Linked DNA regions of Drosophila melanogaster. The protein of the gene in region 4 interacts with the protein of the main gene of each other region in a pairwise test. Each region holds a gene or a part of one and is shown on either strand. Other genes may lie near its edges. The genes, in order: Golgin84, CG10510, CG7970 and CG6398.

Region 1 (4,187 bases), on a different chromosome or scaffold from region 4:
GTCCATGGCTTCATTACCGAACTGTTGGCTGTGGTGAGAGCACACATCGCTTCGCTGGGCGGAAATGCCATGGTCTCTTTTTACATCACCGAACTTATGTTGTTCGATAATCAGCACAAGAATCAGGTAAGGCAAACACAATGATCTACTTACCTTAAAGTTTTTATACTGAAATCTTGTATTCTTAGGGCCAGTGCCTGATTAGCATCGGAGGCGATGCTGTCTATGTGAGCTACCATGCCGATGACTGATATAAAAACTTGCGGGGCATATAGCGCATGTTTTACGCGAATCGTCCCAAAAGCGTATACTCTCTATTTTCTTCCGCTTAGCTAGAACTATCAGCTCTGCCCAGCAACTGGAGTTAAACTGAAGTTAAACTAATTCACGTTTACTTAACAATTTTACAGCATCTGTAGATGGATTCTTTATGCAATATTTGAACTGTGAGGAATCGTTCTAATCCTAACTTAGTAGTGCTAATTTTTTCGGTCTTGTTACTTGTTTGCTGGATGTTTTTAGCGTTAAATCAATTGCAATTTCTGTACATAGTTGATGTTTATTGAATATTGAATTTAGAACGAGTGCGAGACACAAGTATAATATCGATATATACAATTGTTGCAACCACAAACATGACACATATACTCGTACCACTAGATATCCAATTTTGGCGCGTAAAATACAATACATACAATATTATGGAAATACAACAATTGCTCAACTAAATGTATTTGATTCGATTAGTTTGGTGTAGTGGAGAGCAGCACAAACATGACCCACAGATGTAGTAGGGCCACGTAGACGATCACAGAGACCCGCATCATGGGATAGCGACGCAGAAACGTTCCCACCCGAATACCCATGGAGTCCGCCTGGCGAAGGGCTCGCTTGAAGCGTCGTGCCACACGATTATCGAATGGACTTGGATGCATGAGAAGCGGGAATTGTGCTTTGACTAGGTAGAACTCATATTTATGTAATTTCTGGTACTCGCAGAATGTTAGACTTACCATCATCTGTGCTGTTGAGCATAGTATGGCGGGAGCTGCCCCTTTGGCTCTCCATTTCCACCAAGTGCATGTTTTGCTGTAGCTGCGTCTGTGCCTTTTCGTGCTGTAGTCGCAGGGCATTTCTCTCACTCGTAACTCTTTCCAGAAGACTTTGACGTTCGACCAGTGATTGGGTTAAAGCCTTTAGCCGAGTCTCGTAATCGCTCTTGGCTCCCGTGTTGGCTTCCTCGCTCAATCGCTGACGCATCTGCTGAAGCTGCTGCTCCCGCTCCTGGAGTCGAGTGGCGGCAGCAGCCATTTGGTTACTAAGTTGCTGCCGCAGTGAGGCCAGTTCCTGCGTGAGCACTCGCTGATCGGATTCGGAGGTCACACTGTGTTCCCTTGCCTGTCGCAACTCCTTTGCTAGTGTTTCCTCGCGTTGGCGGGCAGAGCTTAGTTCCACCTGTCGTTGTCTTTCCTGGGAAACGTAATCGTCCAGCTGCAAGCGCGCCTTTTGCAGTTCCTCGTTGGCATGCTCTAGTTCTTGCTTAAGTGACTCGTGTTCAATTTGCAGAAAACGCGTTTCACTGTCCTTGGACACCAGGTTTGGATCTGCGCCCTCCTCCGTGGGCTTCGCCTTCAACTCTGCGATGAGGGAATCCTTTGCTTGCAGAGCTCGCTGAGCCTTGATACGGTATTCCTGAAGCTCCTGGCGCTGCTGCTCCGTTTCCTTTGTTTGCATTTGCAATTTGTGAGCGGCGCTTATGTATTCCTGCTGCAACTTGGCCAGATTGGTTTCCAGTTCGGAGATGGAGTGCACATACGCCATGTTAGCTGCCTGGGCCTCATTGTAGTCATGAACCGCCTTGTCCCGCTCTTCGGACAGACTTTTAACCAGAGCTTCCAGCACCTGGGTGTGTTGATGCAGATCAAACTTTTCGGTTTCGTTATTAAGATCTTCCAAGCGCAGACGCAGTTCATCTCTTTCGGCCGTGATTTCATTCAGGGCGATCTTGAAGGCAGCCAATTCATTTGTGTCCATTGAGTTGGCGGATATGTCGGGACTGTTGGAGAAACTGGCCGACGTGGTCATCTTTTGGCGCATGTCCTTAGTGACCACGGAGACCCCGCCATCGCTTTTTACACTTGATGAGCTATTGGCCCCCGAGCGCCGCACTGGCGACAGAGTGGACTTCAGGGATGTGGACAGTGATTGGGTGCTGCTCGTCATGCTCCTACGCATGGGATCCGCTGAACCTGTGGCGTTCTCTGTCTGCAGGGCCGTTGCCGCATTTTGGTCCAGCTTGTTCAAAATGTTTTCGGCCTTGTCCGCCAGTCCTGTGATCCAGGATGACATATTTTTCTAAGAAAAACAAATCTCTTCGAGTAAAACACGTAAACAATATCACACTGTGTGCCCATATCGCTATCGACTGCGGAATGGTCAACTCCAAAGTTAAGGTCACTCTAAAAGTAACGTAATTTTGAAAAACCTTTTTTCTGATCAAAAAAATATTTATATGAAAATGTAAGGATTGGTTTTAGAAATAAATGTAATTCCAATCTTTCTTATCCGTGCAGAAATGTTAATTTATTATGCTTATCAAAACTCTAGGGTACAAATGAATATTTTATTCAATACTCAACATGGGCAGTGTAATCTTCGCAACTCACAACTATAAACTATCTCTTCACTTTCCAATGCAAAAGTCCTTGAAGACCACGTCGAGTATATCTTCGCAGCTGATGTGTCCGGTGATGCGTTCGATGCAGCGCACGGAGTTGCGCAGCTTGGAGGCGGCTATGGCCATGTCCGGGTAAACGTCGGGTCTGTAATCTCGTAGAAAAATATCAATGTTCTCAATGCAGCGCTCCAGTTGCTGACGGTAGCGTGTGTTTGTGATGCGTGGATTCTCCGCCCGCGGTTCTCCGCACAGTTCTTGCAGCTGCTTCTCCAGTGATCCCAGAAACACGGGCATCTTATCGGGCTTATGGCATGATATGGCTAACACGTTGGACAGCTTGTCCAGCTGCTGATGCTCCTCATCCGTCAAAGTGTCGGTTTTATTGGCCACCAATTGCAGACGTTTCCCTGAGCACATGTCCAGAGGTATATCCAACTCGCCCAGATAGCTATCTACAAACGGAGCAACTGCGTCGTCGTGCGTCAGCTGTGCAATGTTCTTGGCTTCTGCTAGGAGCAATATCAAATCAGATTGGACTAGACAATTCTTGGCTCTCTGCATTCCCTCCTGCTCTATACTATCCGTAGTATATCGGCGTAATCCGGCTGTGTCGGAAAATACCACCGGGTATCCTCCGAAATTGTGCATTGTTTCTATAATATCCCTTGTGGTGCCCGCCTGATCCGTCACTATGGACACGGATCGCTGGCAGAGGAGATTGAGCAGACTACTCTTGCCAACATTGGGTGCTCCAATGATCACAGTGCGGACTCCGTCGCGGAGGAGCTCTCCCTGCCGCTGGTCACTCAAATGCTCGCGAATCTCACGCTTTACCGCCTTTAGTTCTTTGCCGAGTTGCAGGATGATGCCGCCTTCGATTTGCTCCTCTTCGGCGAAGTCTATGTAGGCCTCCAAATGGGCAGCACAGCGAATAAGTCGACGGCGCCAGTTGTCGTAGAGTCGAGCCAGTGCTCCAGTGCTTTGTAGCAGTGCCTGGAGAAAGAAGAGACTTGAAACAAAATTTATGAGACCCTAAGTCCACTGTCTACCTGCTTTCTTTGCGCCTCCGTTTCAGCATGGATAAGATCGGCCAATCCCTCCACCTCTGTCAAATCCAGTTTGCCACCAAAGAACGCTCTCTTTGTGAACTCTCCCGGCTCCGCCGGCCGCAATCCATCCACTTTTCCCAGAGCATCCAACATGGCCGCAATGACTGCCAGGGACCCGTGTACCTGAAACTCGCAGGAATCCTCGCCAGTGAAAGAAGCCGGTCCCGGAAACCAAAGTAAGAGCCCACGGTCAATCATCTCTTTGCTGGCGGGATGGTAGAAGGATTTCAGATACGCCTGACGAGCCTATATGGAAAAGTATTTATAAAGGGAACTATAAGTTTCACTATCATAGAGGTCTCTCGTCTTAAAACCTGGCAGCTTGCCAATTATAACAAATTAAGCAGTTCACGAAATTATTCAATTTATTTAGTCAATTATATGTAAGTTAGGAGAAATTT
Region 2 (4,336 bases), on a different chromosome or scaffold from region 4:
TCGAAAGCTCTTGGATTCAGGCCAAGGGTGGAGGCACATCCTAAAGCCGGCCGGTTGGTGGTGGACTGGATTGGAGTGGATTGGTTTGGGATTCTCCCCACATGTTGATGGTCCCTTGGGAGGACGGACAGGTAAAGGGTGAAGGAACCGCCTAAACCAAGGCACGTGCCAAGTAGCTGCCAAAAGGCGGACGCACAGTCGTCATTTTCATCGTCGTTTGACAGGCCATCTCTGCTCTGATTTTCGGAATGGAGAGGGTGGATGTCGACGAGGACGTCGTGAGGATGGAAAGCTCGTCTTCGGTTGAGTGGCCTCTTGAATTAACGTATGACAACGTATGTTGCTTAATTGCACATGGCTTTTTAAGCATAAGGGGTTAAGTTATATGTATATATGTATGATAGGCTAAGGAGATGTTAAAGACCCCGCTGGCATCCGACGACGCGGAAGTGACACAATTTATGCCGCTGAAACGAGGCCAATTGGAGTGGCTAAGGAGCACTAAGCTAAGTAGCCCATAGGGAACCACATGGTACCCACACGCTGGGTCTTTAGAGTTCAGTAAAATTGTTTTGCGTATCAGTAATAATAATTTAAATTTAAATTAAAACATTTTCTTCAAACATAAAACATTTTGAAAATTTTATGTTAGAAAGTTCTTTCGATTATAAGCTGAAGAAAAGTTAGCCAATATCCAATCCAAGCTTGTACTTCGTTCCATTGTGTGTTAAATGAATAATTTAAATTAGTACCGAGCTTGCGTCCTAAGAGTTTAAATACCAAAGGTGTTTCAAAACTAAGTTCTGCAAGCCACCGAACTAACGAATAATTTCCTTATCACTATAAGGCCAAACATGGCAAACACCACCTCAACCGGACGCCTACCACCCAATCATTTTAAAGTAAGCGACTTACGCCCCCAAGGCCCCCTACATACACCCACAACCACACACCCAACCATAATCCTTCGCCCACCGAAAGAGCCACCCCAAGCGACGTTGGCACGCAAATTTATCAGTTGCCCCCGTGGCAACCTATCAAATGGAACCCCTATATCCCACAACTGGCCACCACATCTCCCAGTACAGTCCGCATTTCACGACATTGTGGTTAATGGATGCATAAATATTTATGACGTCGGGCTGTGCACATGCAACTCACCAATTTCCAGTTGCTTGATCGTATTTGCAGTCCCAGCCGGGCGGCATTTTCTGATAGCCACCGGATTCGCTCATTTTCACCGCTCACGAATAGATACAGATGCAGATACAGTAACAATTGCACTTGCAGATGCGAGGCGCTTCGATGCCCAGTTAAACCGAACGACCGTCGTTTTATTATTTTCGTTTTCTGCCTGAATGTTTATGGACGTTTAAAGTCGCATTCGCAGCTTGTTTGCCGACTGTCTGCAACCCCGAAAAGTTGGCAGGCAGGAGTGCCCTTGCCACTTATCCTGCGCGGAGCTTTGTAGTTGCCTTTGTCGTCGGATGTTTCAGATTTGGGGGTTGTAACCACCCTCGATGGCAACCTCTCCTCGGCAGCAGAGTTATTTTTGTTTACAAGGCACTGCCTGCCGGGAAAAAGGACCGCAACACACAGATACACACGCTCACACACACACAGTTCGATGTGGCGTGCCGTTAGTAAGCAAGCCAGCCAGGCTTTAGCTACCCGGAAAGGAATCGTTTTTGGGGAATCCTGGAGTCGCGACGCTATAAACAACCTCGCGAGCCAAGCTTTGAGAGTCAACTGAGGAAATCAGTGGCGGGCGTTAAAGCTTCAGATGCTGTGCGAATAGTCGTTAAAAAAGCTGGTATCCAGTGTTGGAATTTGCCCGTCGAAAGCTGTGCGCCAAACTTCGATTCAGCTTTCAAACAGGCACACAATTCGAATTTAGCTCCCCCGTCAATTTTCCAAAAATTTCACCTTTGATTTACGCATTTAGTTCAGCTACAACTACACATCGGCAAAATGGCCGAAATCTTGGCACGCTTGACGCGTGTTTCGGAAAACTACCTCCAAGAACTGGAGGAGGAGCCGGAGCCACAAGGACCGCCCAAACTAACCAAGGCTCAGAAGAAGGCCGCCAAGAAAGAGGCCAAGCGACTGGCTATGATCGAGGAGAAGCGGCTCATCATGCGGGTGGGTTCAACTAACTTTCGCAGAGTTTTTATTAAGGATGAACCTAAGCAAATCCTTAATATTATTAATTTTTATAATAAAAATAATATATTAAGACTATATTAAAATTGTAAACGCATCATTTCTAATGTTGCGCCATGATCCTCTCAGGATGCCCTGATGCGCGAGCTGGAGATGGGCAAGCATATGGAGGAGAAAGGCAACGAGGAGTGGCACGAGATGTGCCGCGAAATCAAGATCAAGGAGCTAAACGAGGAGATGAGGGCTTGGGGCGAGCGCTCGGAACGTAACATTCAGGCCAAGAACGACCACATCAAGATGCTTCTGGACGACATGGCGCAGACGCAGGATCAGCACGTGCGTTGCTACAGCAAAACGGTGGAGCTGATTGATCACATTCGCGACTGCTTCCACGTGATGTTGGGCGGGGTGAAGAGCATGTATGACCAGCAGGCTGACGAGATGCTGAGGGATTACTATGAAGAGGTGCGCCGGCGCACCGAAGAGGTGGAAGCCATGAAAACGAACTCCGAGAACATAATCCATGCCACCAACATCACCACCCGGGATCAGCTGAAGGAGGATTACACTATCTACCTGGAGCAGCGCGACGATCGCGTGAATACGGAGATTGAGAACAGATTTAAGATTCGAGATCAGATTGTCCGCCGGATGACGCACATGCAGCAGCAACTGAACGACTTCGTGGAGTCGCTGAGGAGCACCGAACTGGATGCCCACAAGTACGAGAAGATCCACTGGCTGACGGAGCGGCAGGCGGCTTTCATGGAGGAGTCACGCAAGCTAAACGCCGAGGAGTCCAAGTACATCAACATGCAGGCGGAACTGCAGCGCGAAATGGTTCGCATGGATGCGGAGAACAACTCCACGCTCAACGATCTTCGCCTGGAGTTCCAGTACTTCACCAACGTGCGCAAGAAGATTGAGCTCAACCAGGAGATGGATCGCGAGATCACGCACGAGAAGTTGCGCATCCTGACCGGCGAGTGCTACGAGTTGACCAAGGTGAACCTTTGTCCCAAGCCCTATTACCCATTTCTAAATTGAAATATTATTCCAGCAAATGGAGAAGCACGTGAAAAGTGGGGAATTACTCTTGGCCCTGTCGATCACTTGCAGGAAACTGCAAACCGAATCGGAAAAGGTAATCCTCGGCGGCGAGGTATTCGACGAAACCGAGGTGGATGTCGATGAATACTTCAAGCTGCAGACTCTCAACCTGAAAGATCACGTGGACATGACCGAGGAGGAACTCGTGGAGCTAAACAAAAGTCTCAGGAACTTCTGGCGCCGCCAGGCGATGGCCGAAGCTCAAAACCTGCTGATGCTGGAGGAGAAGCGTCGCCTCACTGAGGACAATCAGCGCCTGATCGACTTTATCAAATCCATGAGTGTCACCGAGGATCCGGAAGAGCTGCGAACCGCCATGCATGTTTCATCGCCAACTCAACCCATGCCACCCAAACTTTTCGAGACAAAGTGCCAGGAATTCAAGTCCAGAAAGGTCGTGCATTCACCGACGGCACACAAGGAGGCCAAGTGGGAGGCCGAAGCCACTTTGAATGAGGTGATTCTGGACTTTTGAAAATATGTGGCATTCAAAGTTATGTTTAAATATAAAAATGAGCTCAATTAAATTGAATAATAGTTAAATTAATATATTTACCTTGTTTGCAATCGCAAGAAAAAATGCTATAAAGACAAATATTTGATTATCGAAGAGTATATTGTTTATTTTAATAGTTTTGAAATTGCTGAACACAGCATGGGTATCTCAAAGTGCCAAAATCAATATATTTTAAAACAGATAGTTTTTGTTTTAAACAGAAATTTAGCTGTACTTCTACTTATGTATATTATTTTGCAAACTGCAAGTCTTTACTCTACTAAATATTGCTAATTCCCTAAAAGAATGCCGAAGCTCATGTTTTTAGTTAATAAGAAAGCTTGCGTAGTTAAAAACTAAATAATAGGAGCAACGACAGACTCTTAGGAGACTAGAAATATGTTTTAAGTGCAACATGGAGATATGTAACTAGCTTTAGTTCAGCACCAGTGCAATCTAATCTAACTGTTGCAAATATCAATATTTCTCTCAGTGTAAAGTGTTACTGTAGTGCTTTGGTCCATCAAAATGCAGAGGCGTCTTCAACATATGGCAATGGGTATGCTT
Region 3 (3,589 bases), on a different chromosome or scaffold from region 4:
TTTGGTTTTTAAGCTTGCTACACGAATCCCATACTAATCTATTCATTATGCTTTCAGCGCTCGCAAGCGACCGATTCCCTATCACCACAAGGCGAACGCCGAGGGCGAGGTGGAGGATGCCTCTAGTTGCTGCTCCAGTTGCTTTAGCCGCGCCAGCAGTCCTGCCACGCCCCTTCTCACGCCCCTGCGCAACAGCCGGAGTCCGTCGATGGCCGCCTTCTGAGTGTTAACCGCGTCGCTGCGCAGGATGTGCGGCGAGTCTTGAGGCACAGGTGCCCCCCACAATCATCACCATCATCGTAGTCACCTCCTCTAGTCAGAATCCTAGTTTTAAGATAGTTGTTATGCGCATTTAACTTGTTTTACACTGCATTCCGTAGCCCTAAGTTAGTCATCTGCCCATGAATTTACTAGCGAAATTATATTGTAGCGCCGATAAAAAGCCAATAATTCTCGTTTGTAAGCCTTTGCTCGATTATTTGCTAGTTCTAAGCTGCGTTTTAATAAAAAAAAAACAGACATTATTTGTTGCATCTCAAAAGGTTGCCTTGGAATTTCTCAAATTGGGATCCATTGTGCGCAATGGAAATGGGATGTTAGATCGACGATTGTCGCTACTTGTTAAGCATTTCTGTTGGCCAAATTTGGCCATGGATATCTAGATATCTTATACATTGTATATTAGTTTATTTTGGTAAGAAAAGTTTACAAAATTTAGGGTTTAAGGTATAACAACAGTCGGTTGATAAGGCGCCCCTCCAGTTAGTTTTAGCTTATCTAAAGTGTTCAAATACACACGGACTTTTTGCAATCCGCCGGAACGCGGGAAGATAAAGAACTTGAAGCAGTTCAGCCGTAATCTAAGCAGTAATTGGAATATTAGGCCAAGACGACTACCACAGGGTTTAAGGGTCGTATAGCCTATTTGGCTGCCTCTTTGGCGGCCAGCTTGTCCTGGAAGCGGCGACGCTTCTGGGCGATGTACACCACCCAGATGAAGGAGATGATGGCCATGCTGATGGACCGGAACATCGGGGGCACGTAGGCGAAGTTGAGGTACACGAACACGGACAGGTACTGCCAGTTGGCCTTCAGCAGAGGCCAGTAGAGCTTCTCAACATTCTTCAATGCAGTGCTGGGAGACTTGCCCTGTAAGGGATTACAAATTATAGTTCTAGGAACTGAGATTGCGGATTATGGATTCTCACCTCGAACAGGGCCAAGAAGAACAGGGACAGTGCCTGGTAAATCGGAGCATAGACCAGTCGCTCGGACAGGAACAGGAAGAATCTTCGGAAGCGCACATCCTGGCTGAAGAGTCGCTCCACCGTCGTGTAGAAGTAGTGCGGCACACTACCGCCGAAGATCAGTCCAAAGAGTCCGTAGGCGAATACGCTCTGCTGGTTGAGGGTCTTGGCGCCCGCCAAACGCTGGGAGGTGACATTAGCCGAGGTGGCCAGAACGCATCTGCAGTAAGGAGCAGCCGGTGGGTGAGGCGAACCGGATGATAAGGCGAATAGTGTACTTACGCCGTAATGGATTTGGTGCGGACCGGGTGGTTGAAGAGCTGCTCCAGATAAGTGCCGAAGAGCGAGTACAGGGGCTTGGAGAGAACCATGTTGCCGGTGGTGCAGAGATGTGCCTGGAATGTGACTGGTGTGAAGGATGCAGGTCAAAGTGCAAAGTGCAACTGGTCGCACTGATAACAGCGAAAACCAGTTCCCAGAGTCCAGTGCTTACCTGAGAAACTCCAAACGTTTTGGTCGCAGATTCGCAACTGAGCGCCGAACCAACAACTTTAGCCGAAGGTACAAACTTTAGTATTTCGCTAGTTCCAGAGTTTGGAACTGGGGTGGTTCCATGGCATTCGAGAAACTGCGATATCTGGTCACTCTGCGTGCTCGTCATTTCCATTGTTGTCGGCATAATTTTCCAGATCCGTAATTAAGCATAGAACTAAAGATTAAGCCCTCTTTCCACCACGATGGAGTTTCCGCCTTGTCCTCCCTCGCTGAAGTCCATCCAACACTTTCTGAAGCTGGCCCAGGAACATGATACCCGGGATGTGGTCATCGCCTACTGGGCGAGACTCTAGTGAGTATCTACAGATTAGTTTTTCTTGTTTTGCCCGTATTTACTCATCTTCCGAATCCAGTGCTCTCCAGGTGGGCCTCAAAGCCTCCACCCAAACGGGTGAAGAAACCAAACTGCTGCTGGGTGAGTGAAAAATCCGATACGCATATTACCAGCCTATGACTCATCCGTGGTTTGTTTTGTTTTGGTTTTCCCTACGACCGCCAGGCATCATGGACTGGCTGGAGCAGATGAAGAAACAGTATGCTGAGAACGAGGCCATCACCAACGAGGTGGCTGCCCAGGCACACATCGAGAACTACGCCTTGAAACTATTCCTGTACGCCGACAAACAGGATCGCGAGGAGAACTTCGGAAAGTGCGTTCCCTTCGTAGAAATACCCTGAATCGATTTTCCTGATTCATAAGATTGTGCTTCTTCGCAGAAACGTCGTTAAGGCCTTCTACTCCAGTGGTGTGCTCTACGACATTCTCCAGACCTTCGGTGAACTGAGCGAAGAGGCGCTGCACAACAGGAAGTACGCCAAGTGGAAGGCCGCCTACATCCACAATTGCCTGAAGAACGGTGAGACACCGATTCCCGGCCCCTTGCCAGACGACGACGATGAGGCGGAGCTCGAGGGGGAGAATGCCAACGCCTCGGCAGACACATCGCCGGAGGACGCCGCGGGAGCAGCTGCTCCAGCGCCCTACCAGCCGGAGCCTGACTCACAGCCACCAGCTCCATCATCACCGACAACTTCCGGAGTGGTCCCTCCCACCGCCGAGGAGGTGCTGAACAACCCGAACAAATTGCCCAGTCCACCGGTGGACGAGGAGAAGCCGGGCGGCTTTGTGCCCTACGTGCCCACAGCTCAGCCTAATCCGGCCACGGCGGCCACCATTTACCAGCCCATTGTGCCCGTGGCCGGGGTGCAAATCACTCCCGACCAAATGATTACCGCCCAGAAGTATTGCAAGTACGCCGGCAGTGCCCTCAACTACGACGACGTCAAGACAGCCATCGAGAACCTGCAGAAGGCCCTGAAGCTGCTGAGCACCGGGTCCGAGTAGGGCGTACACATCCACATTCACACGTATTTAGGAATCGCTTCCTTGGCACAGTTATAGCTTAGAGCACCAGTATAATGCCGCATAATCTCCTGCTAATCGCTCGTTTGAGGACGAAAGTAAAACGAAATTCAGATTGACTGACGTTGGATTATTAATTTTAAATATGTATGAGTTGTTCAAATTTATTAAAATTGTTTCTAAAGTCGTAATTTAAATGGTTCCGACTAAGTGCCCGTTACGAAGAGGATTTGATTACATTCTGGTTTGATCTGGTCGCGTCTACAGTTTAGTTAATATCTCTCGCCATTGCATACAATATAGTAGTTCTGTATACGATAATAATTTGGCACCAAAGTGAAAACATGAATTTCGATTTGCTAGAATGATGTGAATGAATTTGAGACCCGCAGACAGGGCGCGCCATCTCGAGCCCAACTTAAGG
Region 4 (4,869 bases):
GTCAGGGCGAAGATCTGGAAAATTCAAGGAAAAGGGCAGCCTGCAGGCTAAGAAAAGGAAGAATTAAACTCTAAACAGTATGCAATCTAATGTACATATACCAACAAGACATACAATTAAAGATAATATAAGATATAGGGGTATTTAAAGGAAAGTAACAACACAGAGCTTCCTTTTCCACCATAATAGTTTCCATTTGACTTCTTTCGAAGAAAACATCTGTAATTAGCTAAAGAAAGGTTGGAAGTGATGATATTCTGACACCATCATCATGATTCCCTCGACTGACTCCCCCGGATTCCCATTCTTTGAGTAGCGCTCATAATCGCTGTGGGTATTTAGTTCTCCACTCCCCTGGGGATGCACTTCATAGGACCCTAGGGTTTCCTGTGGCCAAGTAGCCCATCTCGAGTTACCTGCTGCACCTGAGCGGTTCTTCAAAGGCTCTTACAGGGGCGGAAATCGAAGGAGAACGGAGATATGGAGATGGAGGAGATGGAGGTGGAGGAGGAGGAGGAACAAGAAACGTGGATGGGGAGAAGGGAGCGATGACCCAAAATGGGGGAGGTCAAGGCAGACGATTGCTTCTAATGGCTTTATAAGTGCCCAGGCTCTGAAGACTTCGACGCTGGGCGAGATTCGAACGAATCTCACCGCAATTATCGTTCCCTCGATTCCATTGAAACTTTCGGATTAGGCGACAAAGTCGAAAAACGTGCAAATATTTTCAGCACACTTTGAGTGCTTTTCTTCCTCTTCTTCAGCTTTGTTTTTTATTGTTTTTTTTTTTGTTTAGCTAACTTGTTTTGGTATGATTGGTATGCGCACGCACACCGCCGCGATTTTACACCTATTTCTATAGAGCTCTCCGCATCTAAAATTCTCTCGGCTGCACCTACAAGACGGAGTTGGATTTTCTACAGTGCCACTTCATTAAGACAAACTGCTGCTTATTTGAAAGAAATTAAAACACACATATGCTGCGATTGCTTTCGGCCCTTTAAGAGGCGGATTATAACTGAGATTTCAGTTAGCTAGTTGTATTTCATAAATAGTGAAGTAACCAACATAAAATTGAAAATTAGATTACTTGGAAGAATGGGAAGTGTTGTAATCCGCAGTTTGACTGTATTTGCAATGCAAACTGTAAAATTGTGTACTCCTTCCACTTCACCGCCCCTTTCTTCTTTTTCTGCGGCCTCTTCTGCCTGGGCTCTTCTTCGTTTTTTCGCTTGGCTAAGCGCTCGCGTAGAAAGTTTGAACGTTAACGGCCGTTGCCCATCCTCCACAGGCCCCTCTCGATCAACACCGCACCACTCCCTCCCTTCTTCCCTACCCACCTCCTTCCAATGCCAGTTGTTCGTGTATTTGCTTTCGACCTTTCTTCTTCTCCGCCTTGCCCTTTTTCTTTTTCTTTCGGCCAAGCACAAAACGAGCGACTGTTACTGTTACCTCCGTTTGTTGCTGTTGCCTTCGTGGTTGCCTCTCCGCTCCTCTCCTCCCTTTTCACCTACTCCTCCTCCTGCTTCTTTTTTCTCGCCCTCCTACTCCGCACAGTGGGCCGCGCACACCTGTATGCAGTGCACAAATGTCAGCAAGTGCATCTTAATTACATATCTTGTTTATCTAAGCATCGCTATAGATAAGATTCTCGGAAGAGGACGGATTTTAAAAGATATGCAAAGATGTTTGTAGAACTAAATGTCTCCTACTATTATTAGTAAAATATAATACACATTATTCTCTGGACATAGTCGAACGGGCTTAATTCCTTGGAAATTATGGAGATATTCGTTCCGGTTTTAATATTAATTAAGTATGAAAACTTTAATCCTTATCGTATTTATTTACTATGCTTCCAATGGCATTTGTGAAATGAAGCCACTTATTTTCAAAATATATTTAATAATATAATATAGTACTCTGCTATACTTTCCAGAAGACGAAGTCCTAAACTCTAGCAAGTTATTTTCAACAACTAATATCTATTGTATAAGTAGGGCCTAAATTAGGATATTTTCAATTTCCCTACCCATTTTAAATATTTCCATTGTATCGTACCATTATATCGTTGTCTTGCACGACTTTGAACCCGATCTTTTCCGATTTCTTAAGCTATTGCCTAATCCCAGCCTGGATCTACTTTAGCCACATCTCTGGGACCAATGTGCAGAGCTCGTAAGCGGAGCTAAAGCTCCGTCTTAAGCGGGAGAGTCTTCGGCTTTGGTTGTAACTCTGTCTCTGGCTGTGGCTTCTGCCACGCAGTCGCAGATGCACCGTATATTTCGGTGGCGCTGGCTCTGGCCTTAGCTGATTATGTATTCCAAGCGGATGGGCCTTGGGTTAATTCGATTCGTAGCCCCCACCTTCTCTGGCACTGAAGACTAAAGACACTGTAGACTGCAGATTGAAGACTCACCTGTATCTGGTTGCGCCAGACATCGTAGTGCAGCCAATTATCCGTGGAGAAGGCGATCGCCAGCAGGGCGGTGGCGATGATCGCGCAGATCGTCGCTATAGATAGGGTTACGGCCGAGCAGGGCATGCTGGTGTTTTATTCCGGATCTGTTTCGAAATCTCAGCTATTTTGGGGCTATGATACGGGATTTATCCAACGAAAATCCCCGAGAAGAAAACAACAACTACAGTTGCTATTATTTTTCTTTCGTTTCGTGATCTCTAGCGTCTTCGACGTCTTCTTCTTCCGCAGCTAGATTCTGCCGCTTCTTCTTGAACTGCTACTGCTGCTGCACAAATACACAGTTAAAAGAGCAGCAACCAGTTTGGAAGGCACAGCAAAAAAAAAGCCAACGTTCGTTAAAAAAAATAATAATTTTAGCAACGGGCCAGCACTAACACACTGACACGGGCTCCACTGCACACGCTCACAACACTACACACACACACACGCACGCCGGCGAAGAATCTGAGCTGGAGAATTGAGAACGGAGAACTGAGAATCTGAATCTGGGCAGCAAAGAGACGGAGAACTGATAGCCAAGACGTTGTGATCGCAACAACGTTCGCCAGCGGACTGAAAATCGTCGGCGACTGAGCCAGACTTCAGGTAATACCAAATACCCATATACCATACCCATACCCATACCCATAGTCTCAAGTCGCAGTCGGCGTCTCAGTCGGCGTTTCATTTGAGCGCTTTGCAATGCAACCGGACTGAGGGGGGAGGAGAGTTAGGAGCAGGAGGCAAGGAGACGGTGCCTCTTCTACCTGCTGGATAAAGCAAAAACAAGAAAGGAGAGACTGTTTCGGCAAACGAACCATGGAATACCCTCACAGAATGCTTATATCTCTGCCAATTTGAGGCGAACTTGATATGATCTTTCATAAGCTCATTATACATTTATGTACGAAGTTTCAGATTTTCATATTCGATAACGTAAGATTTGTGTTAATTGTGACTTTATGTTAACGCATCTACAAAACCCAACACTGGATAATCCAGATAACAAAACGCGATGATAGACAAGGCAAATCATGATATCCCGTAAACACATATGCCCAGTTGAGATTTGCAGAAATAACGTTAGATATATAAGAGCTAGTAACCTTTTGTTAGGGTATACGAAAGGCAAACAACAACAAAGCAGCAGCCTGTTGATCTTTTCGTATGTTTGTTTGGTATTTGGTATGCGGTGCTGCCTGTGCAATGGAGTCCCAGTCCCACTGGGCAGGAAGGTAGGACGCGAGGCACACAGCCACATGGGCGTAGGCGGTGGGCTGGAACTCGAAGGGGGCGTTCGAAGGGGTGTGCTGGTGCTCCCATATCTCGACCGTATCGCAGTTATGCCACGCCAGATCGTAACTCTGTCAAAACTGAGCCACATATTTTATTAGCAAGATATTGGAATCAGGCTCCTAAAAACAAATACCCATTACACTGAAGGATCATAATTGGAGTTTCTGCGGAATGTGAATATCATTATTTGACACGTCAATATCATTGCCTGCACACCCATTTAAACGGTTTTGTTTTTGAGCCTGAATAAACATGCATGAATTTGCCTATATCTAAAATGGTTCATTTGAAAATCGACTTGTAAGAACAATGCGTCCAGCTGATAGAGAGTCATTAACTTCTGGGGCGAGAATTTTTTGTATATTCAAATGCCTAATCTGAAATTCCGCCCACATGAGTGCGATTAGTTCGGCCTTTTCCACCGCCCGCTGCTAATCAGGGCGCAGCCGATTTCTCGCAGTGTGCAATTGACCCAAAGATGCTGCGACTGCGCAGGTAAAAAATATATACACACAGACATCTCGTGTACGGACATATCCATATAGAGATAGGTGTTTGTGTTTGTGCGGCATTGGCATCTCGCTGCGTCTACTTGCTGTTGTTGTTGTTGATTTTCATCGGCTTTAATGCCTTTGTCTATTTTGGGTTTCTGTTTATGGCGTGGGTTTTTCTCAATTGCATTTTTGGGCGCGCTCTCGACTGCAGCAGCAAAAGCACAGTGGCGGGCAGAGAGATAGCAGCGTTTAAGAAATTAAGAAATATGCATATAGAAAATCGCCTAAAAACTGAAAGAATTTAATACCCTAAAGAGGTGCTGTTTGATTCATTTTTAAATGTATAAATTGGATACGCTTTGCTATTATTTTGTCCTATTTTTCATCTTTAACGTGATACACATTGATTATATTAGTTCTAGACCATGAAATTCCCAAATTTTAAAGACGTACGCTTTAAATGTACCATGTTAATTAGTTATTCTCTGGCAAAATGTAACAAAATTGGAAACTACCATATTGACGGGCATTGTAAGTGTCGTATGTGTGAGTGTGGAAATACCAGAATTACCTAAATAACAACAAGAATAGCCGTGCACTTATAAAGCAATGTTTGTA

The links.
Region 1: the proteins of CG6398 (region 4) and Golgin84 interact in a two-hybrid assay, tested with the Drosophila melanogaster proteins (one large-scale study listed by BioGRID).
Region 2: the proteins of CG6398 (region 4) and CG10510 interact in a two-hybrid assay, tested with the Drosophila melanogaster proteins (one large-scale study listed by BioGRID).
Region 3: the proteins of CG6398 (region 4) and CG7970 interact in a two-hybrid assay, tested with the Drosophila melanogaster proteins (one large-scale study listed by BioGRID).

What each region holds. Positions count from the first base shown.
Region 1 is NT_033777.3:24,355,528-24,359,714, forward strand, and holds Golgin84 (Golgin-84), read right to left. Parts: upstream 2,412-4,187; 5' UTR 2,350-2,411; coding exon 1,014-2,349; intron 959-1,013; coding exon 744-958; 3' UTR 543-743; downstream 1-542. Other genes in the region: CG6454 (uncharacterized protein), read left to right, coding at 1-126, 189-251; CG18528 (uncharacterized protein), read right to left, coding at 2,684-3,670, 3,727-4,032. UniProt on the Drosophila melanogaster protein: May be involved in maintaining Golgi structure and in intra-Golgi transport.
Region 2 is NT_037436.4:21,207,630-21,211,965, reverse strand, and holds CG10510 (uncharacterized protein), read left to right. Parts: upstream 1-1,881; 5' UTR 1,882-1,971; coding exon 1,972-2,142; intron 2,143-2,292; coding exon 2,293-3,168; intron 3,169-3,223; coding exon 3,224-3,748; 3' UTR 3,749-3,818; downstream 3,819-4,336. Other genes in the region: CG10508 (uncharacterized protein), read right to left, coding at 1,162-1,235.
Region 3 is NT_037436.4:1,651,195-1,654,783, reverse strand, and holds CG7970 (uncharacterized protein), read right to left. Parts: upstream 1,985-3,589; 5' UTR 1,909-1,984; coding exon 1,741-1,908; intron 1,654-1,740; exon of another isoform or gene 1,643-1,653; coding exon 1,530-1,642; intron 1,468-1,529; coding exon 1,209-1,467; intron 1,150-1,208; coding exon 922-1,149; 3' UTR 546-921; downstream 1-545. Other genes in the region: Srrm234 (Serine-arginine repetitive matrix 2/3/4), read left to right, coding at 58-223; Vta1 (vesicle trafficking 1), read left to right, coding at 1,985-2,094, 2,156-2,217, 2,302-2,452, 2,520-3,147.
Region 4 is NC_004354.4:17,828,997-17,833,865, reverse strand, and holds the start of CG6398 (uncharacterized protein), read right to left. Parts: upstream 3,039-4,869; 5' UTR 2,546-3,038; coding exon 2,420-2,545; intron 1-2,419.